Lepisosteus oculatus: one gene and its partner. The protein of the gene in region 2 purifies or fractionates together with the protein of the main gene of each other region. This does not show direct contact. Links are inferred from orthologs where the notes say so. Each region holds a gene or a part of one and is shown on either strand. Other genes may lie near its edges.

What was found. Proteins that work in one complex are often made in the same cells at the same time.
Region 1: the proteins of vapal (region 2) and lsg1 purify together in Homo sapiens (co-immunoprecipitation; 4 studies listed by BioGRID and IntAct, counting the BioPlex papers as one, with this or other methods). This does not show direct contact. The link is inferred for Lepisosteus oculatus from reciprocal best matches to the Homo sapiens genes VAPA and LSG1.

What each region holds. Positions count from the first base shown.
Region 1 is NC_090708.1:9,096,644-9,104,584, reverse strand, and holds the start of lsg1 (large subunit GTPase 1 homolog), read right to left. Parts: upstream 3,067-7,941; 5' UTR 2,935-3,066; coding exon 2,836-2,934; intron 2,052-2,835; coding exon 1,925-2,051; intron 219-1,924; coding exon 98-218; intron 1-97. UniProt on the Homo sapiens protein: Functions as a GTPase. May act by mediating the release of NMD3 from the 60S ribosomal subunit after export into the cytoplasm during the 60S ribosomal subunit maturation.
Region 2 is NC_090701.1:56,562,981-56,570,871, reverse strand, and holds the start of vapal (VAMP (vesicle-associated membrane protein)-associated protein A, like), read right to left. Parts: upstream 3,038-7,891; 5' UTR 2,958-3,037; coding exon 2,900-2,957; intron 1-2,899. UniProt on the Homo sapiens protein: Endoplasmic reticulum (ER)-anchored protein that mediates the formation of contact sites between the ER and endosomes via interaction with FFAT motif-containing proteins such as STARD3 or WDR44.

The sequences.
Region 1 (7,941 bases), on a different chromosome or scaffold from region 2:
AAAAAAGACTTCCCAAAGTCCATAAAAACTATATATTTGTAAAGACAATGAATGCTTTAGAGTCATTCGTGTCAGGCAACTGGTGTGGCTGACTTACCTGCGAGGTATTCTGAGAAACTGCTTGTTCTCTTCATGAAGCTTTTTAATCCTCTTGCTCTCTTCTGGTGTCAGTAAACCTGTTCTGGCTTCAGCAGGAACAAACTTGATGTTGAGCTTTTCTGAAAAGCCAAGATACAGCAATTATGTCAGAAGGCAAACAACACACTCTTATAGTCTGCCAATAAAATCACTGTCCATTACTCTGAGCTCACCAAACTATAATAGGCTACAATTTTGGGAGTACACTCCAGCTTGCTCACACTTTCAAAAGTGACGTGACACGTTAATAAGAGTTGTTAAAAGGCAGCTTAAACCAACTAGGGAACAAGTTGTAGTAGTAATAATAATAATAATAATAATAATAATAATAATAATAATAATAATAATAATAATAATCTTTATTTTATATAGCGCCTTTAAAGGTGGCTTCTCAAAGCGCTTTACAGGATGACATTAACAATAAATAAGAAGACTACAACAATAAATAAGAAGATTTCACAAGACACAATTATAATTACAACAATACAACAATAACAATAGAGGAGACCGTGGAAGGTGGTATTAAGAAGAGCAGAGGGGTGAAGAGTGGGACAAGTTAAGTAAAGGCTTTTCTGAAGAAGAAGGTTTTGAGTCTGGATTTAAAGGAGTTTAGAGAAGGTGACTCTCTGATATCCTTGGGCAAAGTTCCAGAGCTTGGGGGCATAGCAGGAGAAGGCCCTGTCCCCCATACAATGTAGACGGGCTTGGGGGACAGTAAGGAGGGCAGAATTAGAAGAGCGGAGGTTGCAAGGTGGGGAGTAGGGCGATAAAAGTTCAGACAGGTATTGAGGTGCCAAGCCATGTAAAGCATTATAGGTGAGCATGAGGATTTTCAAGTCTACACGGAATTTGACCGGAAGCCAGTGCAAGGACTCCAGGATAGGAGTAATGTGAACACTTGCCCTAGACCTGGTCAGGATTCTGGCTGCTGAATTTTGGACATACTACAGCTTGTTCAGAGTAGATTTAGATACCCCAGGGAGTAGAGCATTGCAGTAGTCAATTCGAGAGAATACAAATATGCTGATCAGCTTGTCAGCCACAGTTAATGATAGCATAGGGCGGAGTCTTGCGATATTTCTAAGGTGAAAAAAAGATGTTTTGACAGTATGCTGTACATGTGGGTCGTATGTTAAGCCAGAATCGAATATAACCCCAAGGTTTTTCAATTTTGATTGAAGCTAGTACAGAGCCATCTACAGACAGGGTTACAGGACTGGCTTTACGAAGTTGATGGGGGGTACCAATAAGCATGACTTCGGTCTTGTCACAGTTAAGATGAAGGAAGTTTTGAGTCATCCAAATTTTTATGTCAGAGATGCAATTAGATAGACTAGAGACAACCACATCGGGTTTGGTATGGATGTATACCAGCTGAGGCCATGTGATCTTAAAAGCTGACCAAGTGGGAACATGTAAATGGTGAAGAGCAAGGGGCCCAGTATTGAGCCCTGGGGGACACCAGACTTGACAAGACCAATTTCAGACCTGTACCCATTGAGAGAGACAAAGTGACAGTGACAGTGACAGAAAGAAAACACAACATTTTGGCTGTGGAGCCTTCTTTGGCTCACACCTGAAGAAGGCTCCACGGCCAAAACGTTGTGTTTTCCTTCTTCTCTTTTCAGCATGGAATAAACCTATTACTTGTTCCTTTGCAGCCTACACATGCTGACGCAGCTACCCACCTGAACTACTTAAACCAACTAAGTTCACTATGATTTTAGGATTTGAAATAATCAAACCATGTTTTGTGTCCCCCTAGAAAATATTGACCGCTCTTTACCTGCAACAAACTCTGTTCCGGCTAGCTCAGCTGTAGCTAAGAATTCATCCAGAGAGCTCTGCTCTGTGACTGACTGCAGGTTCAGACGGCCCCAGTCGTACCCATCATTCAGTTCACTGGTGTGGAGCTGTAAAGGAAACAATATGATCTTGTTACGTTAACACAAACAGCACTTCTTCCATCATGCACTGCATAGTTACCGCAGATCCTCGCTACTCGCACTGCTCAGACAAATCTGACTGTTTTATTAAACCAAGAAGCACATTAAAAGGAGGAAAAATGTACAACTGGGCTGTACTGTACGTCCTCCTTTCTTGAAGTTGAAATCAAAGTTGAGTCACAGAGTGGGGCCTTTTGTTGACATTTTTTGACATCAAGAACATCGAATTATTTTAAAATATCTAGTGCACATACATTTCCAAATGCAATTTCCAGACTCCAAGAATCCCTAAGATACCTTTCAGTTTCTTCTAATTGAAATGATTTGTTTTCTCTGTAAATTTTTACCCGAAGCATCCCATTCATACAGCTCGATACTTTACGATGTGTGTGAAGTACCTTTGCGCAGGAACACACCTGCAGTGTCTCCCCTTTGATTTTAACCCACAGTCTCCCAGTTACAACTGCAGAATCCTAAACCACCTCACACAGCTGTTTTAGGGAAGAAAATCTCCACCATCGCCATCTCCGTCTTTTTGTTTTTCAAGTGTCACCCTGCTAGTCACTTTAAATGCAGAACCCAACACCATTTCCAGAAAACAATTAACAAAAATCATTCTAAAATGCTATTGTACACATAGAAAACTAAAATTATATGAACCATTAGAAGCAGTACTTGTATTTTTTTCCCTGACTGTTATACTCGTCAAGGACTTTAAATCACTTCGAGTTATTAAATAAATGTGAAGTACCCAGGAATCTGCTCTGTTGCCCCGACCTGCCAGTTGCCTCTCCTTTATTAAAGCCCTGCCTAATCCAGCGCCTCCGCCGCCAGTTTTCTTCTTTCCCATTTTCGCGAGTTCACATTAACTTTTTTTAAAAACAACAACTTTCTGAATACGATCCAGTCCGGAGTTCTTCAAGCACAGCAGCAACAGCACCTTCCAAACTGACCATGTGAGCACTGTTGTCATCAGGAAGGAAACGGCTTGGAACAATCTACTTTCTCGAACAATAATGTACACTTAGAACTTTATGGGGGAAAAAACAAATGAAAGAAAACATAAAAAATTATCACCTAAAAATCGCATTTTTAAAGACCATTTGGATTATCAGAACGTATAATATATGCAAAATATATTTAAAATTTAAACAAATGTAGCCTTCTGAGTGTATTGGTACATTCCAGATAGCCTACACATAAACGCTCGTGTAAAACAGCGACAGCGAGTGATAGTTCCCAAATCATGTTATAATGCTCATACAGTAGTTGTGACATACTGGAATTTTAGTCGTACAATTATCCAGGCTGTAAGTTATCTTTCTCGTTAAAGCGAAAATCTTTTGCTCATCATGCTACGAAGCAACGATTCTGTTATTTCAAGAAGAGCACTTGTTTTCAAAGGAACAATTCTCTATTTTAGTAATAAACATTTAAAACAGAACGGGGAAAACTCAAATTTGTGATACGTCGTGGGTCAGTTAAGCCATGAATTAAATGTATTTTAGCAATTTATTTGATTGGTTTTTTTTCATTATAAATTTTGTTTTTTTTTATTTCAATTTAGATTTCTTAAAGAAACAGACAATTGTAATTATATTCTTCCCAAACCAGGCTTCTCAGTGTTAATTCCCCAAGAGATGTTATCTTCACAGACTTTACAGAAATTATATCTTCACAGAAAAACTCTAAAAATGGGCTATGAGGATAACAGAAACCGTATTCAGCTGTAATTTTGCGGATATGGACTCACATAAGCAGATATTTACGGTACAATAAAGAATGCAACAGAATAATAAAACACGATATATAAAAGTTGGTTCTCAATTTCAACAATAGTATTAAAATTTGCTGTGCCTAGCCTTTATAGATGAGAAAAGGTAGACCTCAATTTCAACCCATTGCTTGTAGTGATTCATATTTTAAAAGCAAAACAATTTTTGTGGCATAATTTATGATGGCTGGCACCATGGGCTCTTGGGTTCTGAAGTTCTCCCTGTTATTTTGTAGATTTTGGCAAATTGCTCTCACTAGTTTCATCCCACAGTTCAAAAACATGATGTCTAGGTTAACCGGCATGACTAAATTTTTCCATGTGCGTTTGTTTGTTGTGCACCCTGTGATGGACTAACATACTGTGCCCATTGCCTGCTGAATTAGGCTCCTGGCGCACCACAATCCTGTATAGGATTTACTGATTACTGAAAATGTATGCTAGGATGTATAAATAGACAGTTACTATTTTCAACTTCTTGGATCAAACAATTAAAAGGTAGTTGGCCTTACGTTACTGTGCAATCCAGTATAACAGTCTACACCATTTCTTGGGGGAGCTCTGTGTAAATACCGAAGAAAATACCAGTTGTACAAGATTACAAAGATAACTCAAGTGAATTAAAAATTAGATCACAAAGTTGTGAAAGGTAAAGCACAGGTAATAGCAAACACAAGGCTAAATAATTTCAGATACTTTCCCTGATCTCTTTAGTTTCACTCTGCTCTATATGAACATTTTTGCTACCGCCACCATACTCAAGATGCTTCAAAAAGTAAATAAAGAGTTTTATGCCTGGGATTGTCTTGTTCGAAAATAACCGAGCTGTAATGAAGTACATTTGATAGCCAAAACCTTATCATGCTTTTAAAAAACAAAATTGTTGTGTGGACTCTCTGTCTATAAAAATGTTAGATCCAAGTTAAAGTTCTAAAAGAAAAATTCAAAGATATGGTACTATCCTCTACCATCCAAAATAGTAAAACCTACTCTTTGCTCCATTTTCTGGTGTGGCATTTTCTTTAAGACCGAAAAAAGCTAGGATGCACACATACTTTGTGTGTATGTTTTACAAGTAGCTCTCTTGCAATCCCTTACAATACAGGACAGATTGCAAATGACATTTTATTTAGTATCATTTGAGTTTACAGAATAACTGCAGCAAAGAAATATGTGAGATTCCCGTTAATTTCACTGTGCATTTGTAAGAGCCTGACACTTTATTTGAAACTTGTGATCCTACACACCTGCTAAAGATAAACCTTTTATTGAAAGGACAAACCTACTCCCGGAAAAGGCACTGCAAAACAAAACGACTCATTTCTGAAACTGACATTGGCAGATGAATGTCACACATTTCACAGATCATGCAGATAGTTTATTTTGCAGCCAGTCCTGTGTAAAATCTAGACAAAAAGGTAATGCCTACATCCGATATTTGTCAGTGTGTCAGTTTAAAATATATCACACTCCCTCCCCCACTTTCCATATCAGTCACTTCTAGAGGCCGGCTCGGAAACAATTTTTAGTAAACAAGTCTGCGCGGTAGAGGAAGGATGCACCTTAATGGAAAAAAAGAAAAGAAAAAACATTTTCCTGTGTTTGTGGCCTACTTAATGAGAAATGGTGAGGAATCCCATAACAGCACCAGAATAAAAGGGTTCAGATTTTTTTGTCTAAGCCAGGTCACACCATTTGTGTGATTTTAACACTGAATAAGCAAGGGTTGGGTGGTTCAAATATTATACAAATATTAAGTCACAAATAAGGTTGGACCTGATTAATATTTTATTTGCTTAGGCTGTAAGGATGGAATCAGACCTTGAGGGCAAGCCAATCACTAACATCTCTGCTGGTTATTATTACAATGTATTTTTATAAGGAAATGAGTATCACAAGCAGCAGTTTGTCTAATTTCCCCTTCTGTTTTGTGATTCCCCATCCACTGATATGCATCAGTGCTAGTACACTGTTCGTCATCTGCATATCCTTTTCAAATCCATAAATGCTCTTCCAGAAATCAATGTGTCTGCCAGTGAATCCATGACAAGCACTTGTCAAACGCATTCATCATGGTACATTTACTGTATGGGGCTTCTCTGTGAACTGTAAAAAATACCTGTGTGCCATTGCAATGCCAGAATTTCAGATTCGACAAGTGAAACATTTAAAAATATCCTATTTAGCGTACAATGCATAATGTCATGTTTGCAATAGGTGTATGTATTTTGAATGCACCTATCTGTAATAACACTTATTGTCAATATTTAGAGTGAATCATTTAAAAAACTAAACAATGTGTCTTGAAGGTTGAAGACAACAGCCTGCAGCCCAGGTCATTCTCTAGTTTAAGTCTTCTACAATTAGATTAAATCTTCTTATGCCACGGGTGAGCTCCCTGAGTTGCCCCGAGCAGAAATCGCAAGGTCCCTTGTTATGTCACACGTGTGTTTCCTATGAAAATGATACGGCTGCCTATCTGGGCTGTTACTTTCAGACTGCAGTTCTTGCGATGCCAGTTGTTAAGAAATTTGATCTCTTTCCCTAGTGCTTGCTGAAGATTAAAGCAGAGAACAATAGTGGCAGGTATCTCCCAAACATGCAGAGGTACAGTGTAAAGGAACAAGTAATAGGTTTATTCCATGCTGAAAAAAAGAAGAAAGAGAACACAACGTTTCGGCCGTGGAGCCTTCTTCAGGTGTGAGAGAGACAGGGCAGTAGGCAAAGGTAAAGTAGCGGGAGAACAAAGGCTGGGAGGGAGGAGGAGTGAGAGGCAGGAGCAGGGGACAGAAAGAGAGGCCAATCAAGAGGTGTGAAGTCAGAATGGGTGCAGAGAGGTGTGAAATGAAACTTCCAATGAATGGAGAAAATTTTAAAGAACAGTAATCTGTCATTAAGGGAAGAGAGAATGTGTGATCCCAGCTAAATTATTTTAGTTTCGGTGGTCTTTCTGATGTATGAGAATCAGAAGGTACAGTGTAGTTCGTTTGTACCTGGGGCCCTCTAAAACATAAGTCAAAATGCTATTTTGAGTTGAAAGGAAATACTGTACTTGTCAGAGATTTATTAAATTATTAGATTATGTTAAGCATGTAACAAATATGCATGCTTATGCATGTTTACTCATGTGTTAACTGCCCTGATGTGGTCATCAGAATTTAAAAGCTTTCTTGGTCAGCGTCTACATGGGAAGTTGATTTCTGGTGTAAAACATGTTTCCCATTCTTGATCTCCGTAATTTATTTTTTAGTTATGTGTGAGTGAATCTTTTTTGTAAAATCAGAAATGGAGACAGATCCATTAGAAATGTTGGTCCTCAGATCAGGGCTAAAGAAGGCCATAGTGCAATTTGACCATGTGAGCCAAATAACACATTAAAGGAATCCGAGACGTTTACAGTTTGCATTTTAAAAGCTTTCGAAGTGTGCGTTGTTGTTTTAAATAAATGTTATGATATAATTCATTTTTTCCTAAATCAATGGGTTTTTGTGTGACACCGGTTTAAAGTCATTAAGCTAACCCTAACTTGCATTCAGCTTTTCTTGCAATAGTCTTCCAACAGATGGCGGTATTAAACAATTTTGCAAAAATATTCGATATCGTGTGTAAAGGATTTAAAGTAATACAATCGTTGGTAAAAAGAAACAGTTTACGATTATGTGATGTTTTTTTTTTAAATCAACTCATTACCCCCAAACTATATTTAATACAAACACTCAGTCTCACACATTTTAACATATTATAATGCAGACTGGCATGTTTTGTCCTATATTATGTGCTATAGTTTTATTACTTTTAATTCTGTTTGTGTGGAAATATACAATAGTTCGTAATCCGTTAATTGATTTGTTATGCCTATTTTTATCTGACGTTAAGAAATTAGGTTATTGCACATAATTGTCTAATTTCTCTACGTTTTTCCTTACATGAAAACAAATCGAAATGCCATAGAACATAAAATTAATGCTTTGTTTGAAAAACTGCCGTATGATCCATGTTAACAAGAACACCGTTGTTAGTCAAATACAGCTACCCCTTTAAGAAAAAGTGCTTCAGTTCTCTGGGTTTATCCGTCCTTCGTCT
Region 2 (7,891 bases):
CGCCAATCCAAGTGAAACCACCCCTCCATTGTCTGCCCACTTTATCCAACAGAGCGTCGCAGGGGAGACGGAGTCTATCCTAGCCAGCAGCACCAGGTGATTACACGCGTCCTGAATGAATTCGGTGTGTGCAGTCGCCCATCATAGCAGGTGCACCTAGCGATCTGCTACCAGAGCTTGCCAAAAGCACCTTGGCTGTCCCTTTGTGTTAAGTTGCAGGCAGGCCATTCAAAAAAAGTATGTGACACACACCCTGGCGTCTGACAAAGCGTGATCCAACATTCTGCGTCCAATTCCAAGGAGATGCAGATGTTCACAGGGGCAAGAGGTCTTCAACAAGAAAAACAGACGCGAGACTCCCACCACCACGCCACTTGACGCATTTCAGGTTTTACAGTAAGCTCTTGCGTTAGTCAATACCAGGTGCTGGATGTCTCATGTTTCTTGCTTTAAACTACGTAATTTTAGACAGACATTCAAAGTTAAATATACAGCCTGCATATCCTGTTCCTTCAGTTCAGTCTGTACCAGAGCCTACAGCCCCATTAAATCTGAACTGCATCGAAATACCGTGTAACACGGTTACTGCTACTGTGACAGGGCTCGGTGCACTGACGCAAGTTCGACTTCACCCCCTCTGGAAGCTGGACTGACAGCTAGAGGCAGAGACCTGGTCTTTAAGCTAGGCGCAAGTACCCGCTGTCTAGAGAGTGGAGTCGCAGGTGCTCGAACCCAGGCAGGGGCAAGGAGAGCTACACTGGCCACACCACCCAACAAAAGCCTTGTTTCCCTTATTGGGGCACTGCAGAGATGTATCAGAGTGCCCCAGAGCTAGAAGCCTGTCTTGGAAACAAAAAAGGAGCAATTACCTCAAAAATGCAAGCAACATCAGGTTGTTCACATCTCCTAAAAGTCAGAGAATCTGAGACAGCATCTGATGTCAAGCTCTGCTGTCAGAAGAAGACTTCATGTGCTAGCTAGTGTAACAAGGTGGTAAGCTATCATCCTGAATAAGGCAAATCACCACAACTCCTCCACTTGCCCTGCAACTCCTCTTACATGCAGAAGGGCCTCCCATCTAATATTCAACGGAGCACTTGCTGGCCCAATTCTGTGTAATAATACCATGGTAATTACGCTGGGCGGCGTGGTGGTTCAGGGGTCAGTATTGTTGCTCCGCAGGGCTGGGGCCAGAGGGCCATCAGTGTGGAGCTTGTCTGTTCTCCCCATGGTGGCGTAGGCTTCCTCCCATCGTCCAAAGACACACTGTTAAATTAACTGGCTTATAGGAAAACTGACCCTGGTGTGAGTGAGTGCGTGTGTGTGCGCGTTTGTGTGCCCTGTGCTGACTGACGTCCCATCCAGGACGTACCCTGCCTTGGGCTCACTGATTGCTGGGCTTGGCTCTGGCTCTGCCTCAATCCTGGATGGGAAATGAATGGGTGAAAAATCCCATTCACGCTCCCTAAACCAAACAACTTCCTTGAAAAAAACAACAACAGAGTTATCATGAAGGTGGGGTAGCCAGGAAGGTCTCCTGACCTCGGAGTTTTACAATGTCCGGGATATTCTTCAGAAGACACATGCCATCACAGGCAACAGTCTCACAGTCTCTAGCTGGTCGCCGTCCAGAATAAGGAAGTCGAATCCAGCTTGAATTTACCTGCTCTGCAGAGCTGGGGATGATTTCGATCCAAGGAAGCAGTGCAGTAACTTCACTTTGACTATGTGCACCTTTTAAACTCTCTTTCACAACATTCTGGTTTCGATTAGAAACATTACAACGTGTTCTCGCCTCAGATTCCATCCTCCTTGGGTGAAGGGGGATCGATCACCCAGCACCCGTGCCAGATAAAGTTGCGGAGAGGCCTCGTTTCCTTCCCGACTTGTCATATGTCCTTGTGCATTCATTGTTGAAAAACGCTCCTCCGAAAATTCCTGCACAACGGCAGCCATGCAGTTTATCGGCTCACTGTTTAGATTAATGCACAGATTTCACAACCGTGATTCCCTGTTCGTGAGATCAGATTCAGGGCAGTTTCCACCTTTGTCCATTACATCCGCGTATCACACTGCAGAAATGTTTACTTTTTTTCTGGCACGTGGATGTCATCGTCTTTGCCATTTCTCGTCCCCTGCTTCTCACTGATAAGCGACTTTCACTTACAAAGACAAGGAAGACCAGGCGAATCTGGAGCAAAGTGTCCGAAACAATATCAATATCTCCGCTTGCCGCTTTCTAAAGCTTTGCCTGCGATTGCAAAGGCACAAGTTGGATTCATTCAACACCCAGGAACGCAATGCTCCGCACCGCTTCCAAAATAAATCGCACTAAAACCGTGAAATGCAATCTCCTTAGATTGAGTCTTATTCCTGCAAAGGAGTGTCGCCGCCACCACGATTCAAAGCTGTTTCGGGCACAAAAATCCCTGCTCTTTCTCTCAAGCCGTCTGTCGCGTCGCTAGTCCACGTAGCAAAAAAAATAATAATACAGACAACACAAAAATCACACACCGGCGGCTCAGTCCATCGCTGCCGGAGCTCACCTGCAACGCCCGGGCCTGACACATCCACACCACCGACACCCCGACCCCTGTCACCGCGGCTACAATCACACTCCGGCCGGGCGTGCTTGCCAAGGGAAGCCGACGTGGCGACGGGCGCAGCTCAGCCAGCTGCGCTGCGGCGAGAGCCTTCTCGCCTGCCGGCTGCGCGGCTCACGGGAGACCGCGGATCCGCCGCGGCCCACCAACTCCGACTCCCTTCCTCAAAATGGCGGCGGGCAGTTTACCCCGAGTAACCGGAGGGGGGGGGGGAGCGAAATTATCCCCCGATTTGGGTACTCCGGGGCGGCTGCGAAACCCGGCTCCCCCGCCCCGCCACGACGATGGGTCCTTACCTTTGAATTTGAGATCGTTTGGTGGATCGAGGATTAGGATCTGCTCCTGCTTGGACATTTTTGCTGGGGAATTCCGGTGATGGCGGTGCCGAGCTGCCGCTGCGAGAGCGAAAAAAAAAAACCCCGAGAGCAGCACTGAGTCACTGGGCGGCGGGGGCGAGCGCACGAGCACGCGCAGCCCGGGGACGCGCTTCCCCTTTGAAGGGCTGCTCAGCTGCAGCGCAGTGCAGACGCCCTCGGCAGCCACATGCCTTCATATATTGTGATGATGGCCATTCGGTATGTGTCCCGGGTTAAAATCGCTTTATGACACTGGCCCTCCTTTATGTACAATGCGGCAGTGATGCCTGTAACCTGACCACCACAGATCCCAGAAGCTAAGCATAGTTGGGCCTGGTCAGGACAGGGTCCTCTAAGGGAAAGCAGGTTTCTAATCTTAGTGGCTTTCTCCCTCCTGGGTTAGGATTTCCAAACAAGTTCCTGAGTATGGTGCCCAGTGACGCTGATATGTCAGAGGAAACCCCCTACACATGAGAAAAGTCCTCACTACTTGTGGTCATTAAAGATCCCATGACACTCTTCATAAAAGCAGAGTTAAGACTTGGCCGAATTTCACCCTGGACATCCATAACATGGCCTCCCTAACGACTGTTAAAGTGGAAGAGGTATCAGTGGGAGCAGCAGGGGGCGCTCACCCTGTGGCTCATGTGGGTCCTAATGCCCCAGTATAGTGAAGGGGACACAGTTTATGAGGATACTGGAAGAAACTGTATTAAACAGAACTCATACAGAAGAGGAAGTGTTGCAGTATTTGAACCATTTAAGATACTATCTATGTCACAAAAGTAAGTGAGGAAATGATATAAAGTATAAAGAAATCACATGCTGTTGTTGTACATGGAAGGTTATGCCAACATAATTAGCATTAAGGAAGAAGTTAAAGGTTTATTCCAGAGAGGAGGTGGAGGTGTGAGAAAGACAGGGGAGTCAGAAGGGGTTATATAGAGAGTGTAGGGGAGGCGGAGTGGCCACCTCTGTCTTTCTCACACCCTGCTGTGTCCTTGATTCTTCAGTGCTCTGTATCCCTGCTGCCTTCCTCTTTCACACTCACACTTGGAGTAGGCTCAGCAGTCAATTTTTTGTTTTTCTTTTTTCTTTTCAACATGGAGTCTGGGACTGTGGTGGTATAGCATAGGTCCCATGACCGGCAGGTTTTGGCTTCGAGTCACTGCTGAAGACAGGGCTGTTGTACCTTGACTGAGGTGCTTTACTCCAGTTGCTCCAGTCCCCCCAGCTATGTAAATAGAGACCAATATTGCTGGGGGTTAAACCTTGTGAAACAGTGTCCCCTCCAAGCAGAAAATAATTTGTTCTCTCGTCCAGCTAACACTAAGGAAACAAAGACAACCTCTGGCCCAATGAGTTACTGTGGCTCTATTCCTAAACAAGAAGACGTGTGAGGCAGTACTGTTTTACTGAATAGTCAGAATGGTTTTAAAGAAGGTAGATTTTCCTTAACAAACTTGCTGAGCTCTGCGTTCTTTGAAGGTTATTCAATTATGCAAATCCACAGACGAAAATCCAGTGGGCTTCTTCAGGATCATCAGTGAAACACGAACAAGAGGATACAGATAGAAACTATGGGGAGGTACCTTAAAAGAGGGAGAATGGGAGACAAAGTTTTATGGAAGAGTGGAACAAAATATTCAGCCATATTCTTGAAAGTGATACCCTGTTTTCTTCCAAACAGCAGCTGGATGAGATCCTTGGATCTGTTGGCAACTAGCAGTCAAACAAGCTCACTGGACTGAAAGACGTCCTCTTGTAGGGAACCTTTTTAATGTTCTCATGTTTATTTATGAACTCCTGGTTTTTACTTGCATTTTTGTTTTGCTTTGTCTTGGTGGTTCCCTTAGCTTTTAAAAAAATAGAGAAAATCCTCAAATGGCTTTCACAATAACCAGAGTAAATGTGAAGCAACTAAAGTGAAATTCGTGTGGTGACAGTTTTACTCCAGTTAAGAGGAAACGTTCTTTGTGTTTCACAGACTGCTCCCTGCAGTGGTCGTCAGTTTGAGCAAAGGGAACAAAGTGTCGGAAATCCTCTTTCAGTCCAGCTAAGATCAACAAAGGTTTTCAAAGTCAGAAAACATGAAGGGGTACAACTTTGCTCCCTTCTTTTTGTTGGTGCAACAGATGTTGCTCGGACTCGGGGGTCAGGTGGCGATTCCTTCACTCTTCCACAGCAGCCTGAAGCAGCTGCACTGTCTGTGTGTGAGGTAAACACACACGTCTTTAGATTTATTTTGAGGAAAAACAAAATAAAGATCTGCAAAGCAAAATCACTGTTTCCTATACATCATCTATGCCAGTGTACACCCGACTTTAACACGTTTAAACTGGGCTGTAGTATTACAGAAAAAGAAAGACTGTTTGTGATTAATAACAAAATAATGTATATTTCATAATAATACACTGCACACAATTTTATAGCCTCTTCAAACTGAGCATTTCCCATTATGTATTTATGATTTATAGTTTTGGTATTTGCATGTAATATTTTACATTTGTCTGTTTGAAAGATCATCTGCCAGGTATCTACCCCATTTTAAACTTCACCTGAATTCTGAATTATTAGAAATATCTGAATTTTATTTTAATGATATGGAGCCATAATAGAGCTGCACTGACTGTTCAAAGATAACTGAAAGAGTTTTAAGATCCAGGTATTCTTGAGTTGAGACACTTTTCATTAAACTCTCTTCCACATGTGTATACAAGATCCGCAGGGCAGGTTAACAGCTTTACAAAGCCTACTGTCAGGCTGTCAAGGGACACTTGTCTGTGGTATCTGTGTCCTCAAATTGTTGCAGCCAAAAGTTGTTTAAAATAAACTGGCAGGTAGTTCTGCTTTTAATTTACTCCTACACATTGCTAATTGACACAGATTCATGCAGTAGTTCAGCTGTCAGTATCAAATTAGCACCTTCAAAATGTGTCACAGAAATCTCAGTCCTAATTATGAACTATATGTAATGTTCAGTAGTTTTACTACTGCTGCTACTTCTATTATTAACACAGATGAGTACAATACTACTTACCTTTCTGCACATCATTGGATATTTTTGTTCCTATAATACTACACAATACTATTATTGAGAGTCAAATTACATGGAAGGGTGTACCTGTCTCAGCCCACAAATAAAAGCAATGACAATTTGCACATACCTTCCTGCTGGTGTCTACTGGTTTTTCTTATAATGTTACATATCTTTGCTGAAAGACGTACATCAAATATTCAGTGGCATACACTTTTTGTATTTCCTTTCTCATCTTTTACGTTTTAGTTTTCACGCCTTTTGCACTGCGTGATGCTCATAAAGTGTGGAGTTATTTCTCTAACACCAGCCAGAACTCTACAGGACCGAAGCTTCCTTGTAAAAGCTTCCTGCAGCCAGTAGTCAGGGCTGTTGAGAGCAGTAGCGAAAGGTTTTTGAGAAGTTAAGGAATGCAGGTCTCTTAACACAAGACAAAGATTAATCACCCAGAGAATAAACTCAGTGAACAATTCGTCTGTCTGTGGATTGTGATTCTCCCCTCTGAATCAGTACCCTTTGCAGACGTTAAGAATGCCAGCGGTCAACTAGATTTATAGAGCTCCGCAGTCACGTGTACTACTCCAAAAATTTGCTGTTAGTTCCAGTCCATCCAGACAATTTAAACAATGAGCCAGAAAGATGCGGTTCCGCTGTTGTGACACTTCAGCGTGGTGAAATTAAGGAAGCTAATAGTAAGATATTATAAGACATTCAGGATTGGAAACAATTAAGGAAATAGGGTAAATTGAGCATATAATGCTAATCATGTATTACAGATGAAAGCATTTAGTACAAAATGATCAATTACATTATTATAATCATAATACATGATTATAATATGATTTTTCAAAGCTGTGAAATGAATCGCAGTCTGTATATAAAGTTACGTTTTCCATGGCCCTTCAGTTATTTTACGTTATATTGCTGTCAGTGCAAGTTCATTGATATCATATTTTTGTTTTCCAGGGTTAAATTTTAATGCATTTAGGCCTCCAAAGTGTGAAAAACGACTTGGTTATAAATGTGAGTCCCGGTACCACAGACTGAACTGCAGCACACAGGCAGAATTCCCACTGGCACAGTCCTGTCTGAGGTGACATTTCTGGTAATATAATTGATTCCTCATACAGCTAACAAAGCAGAAGACGTTCACAGTACAGCTAACAAAGCAGAAGAGGATTATTTAAATATTTTAATAAATGTTTAACTTTTTTACTTCTCCTTTTTTTTACTCCTTTACTTTGTCTTGAACACTGAGCCAGTTTTGCCACGTATCATGTAAAACGAGCTTTCGAAACAACAGGACGAGATACATGAGAGAGAGCTGCTTCAGCATGTGCAGGCTGCAAAGGCAGGCACAGTTAAAGGTTTATTCTAAGCTGAAAAGAGAAGGCTCCTGCACACCTGAAGAAGGCTCCACAGCTGAAATGTTATTTGTATTGTTCTTTTCAGCATGGAACAAACCTTTACTTAATGCACAGTACCACCGGCCCTCATCATAAAGTATCACACAACATTTCACATCAGCATCACACATCTCCTCACACAAACTCTGCCTATAATTTGAGTACTTGAAGGCATTTTGTATTACATGGATCAATGCCTTTTTACCGTATATGATAGGTTTCAGTAAACGTTGGAAAGCATTCACAAATGAAAAAAACAGGATTTTAGCAGCTGGCGATATGTGATATGGGGCGGGCTGGAAAAAGAGCTGGATTCCTCTGCAGATGTTACTGAGCAGGTTCTCTCAAACCTCCCCACACCCCAGAGCGCCTCGTCACTGACCCCTCCCCATACGCCGTCAACATCCGCCACGCGCTGCTCCTAGCGACAACACTCATCACCTGACCAAGGGCGGAATACTTAAGACATCTCCGAGGGGGAAATGCTCA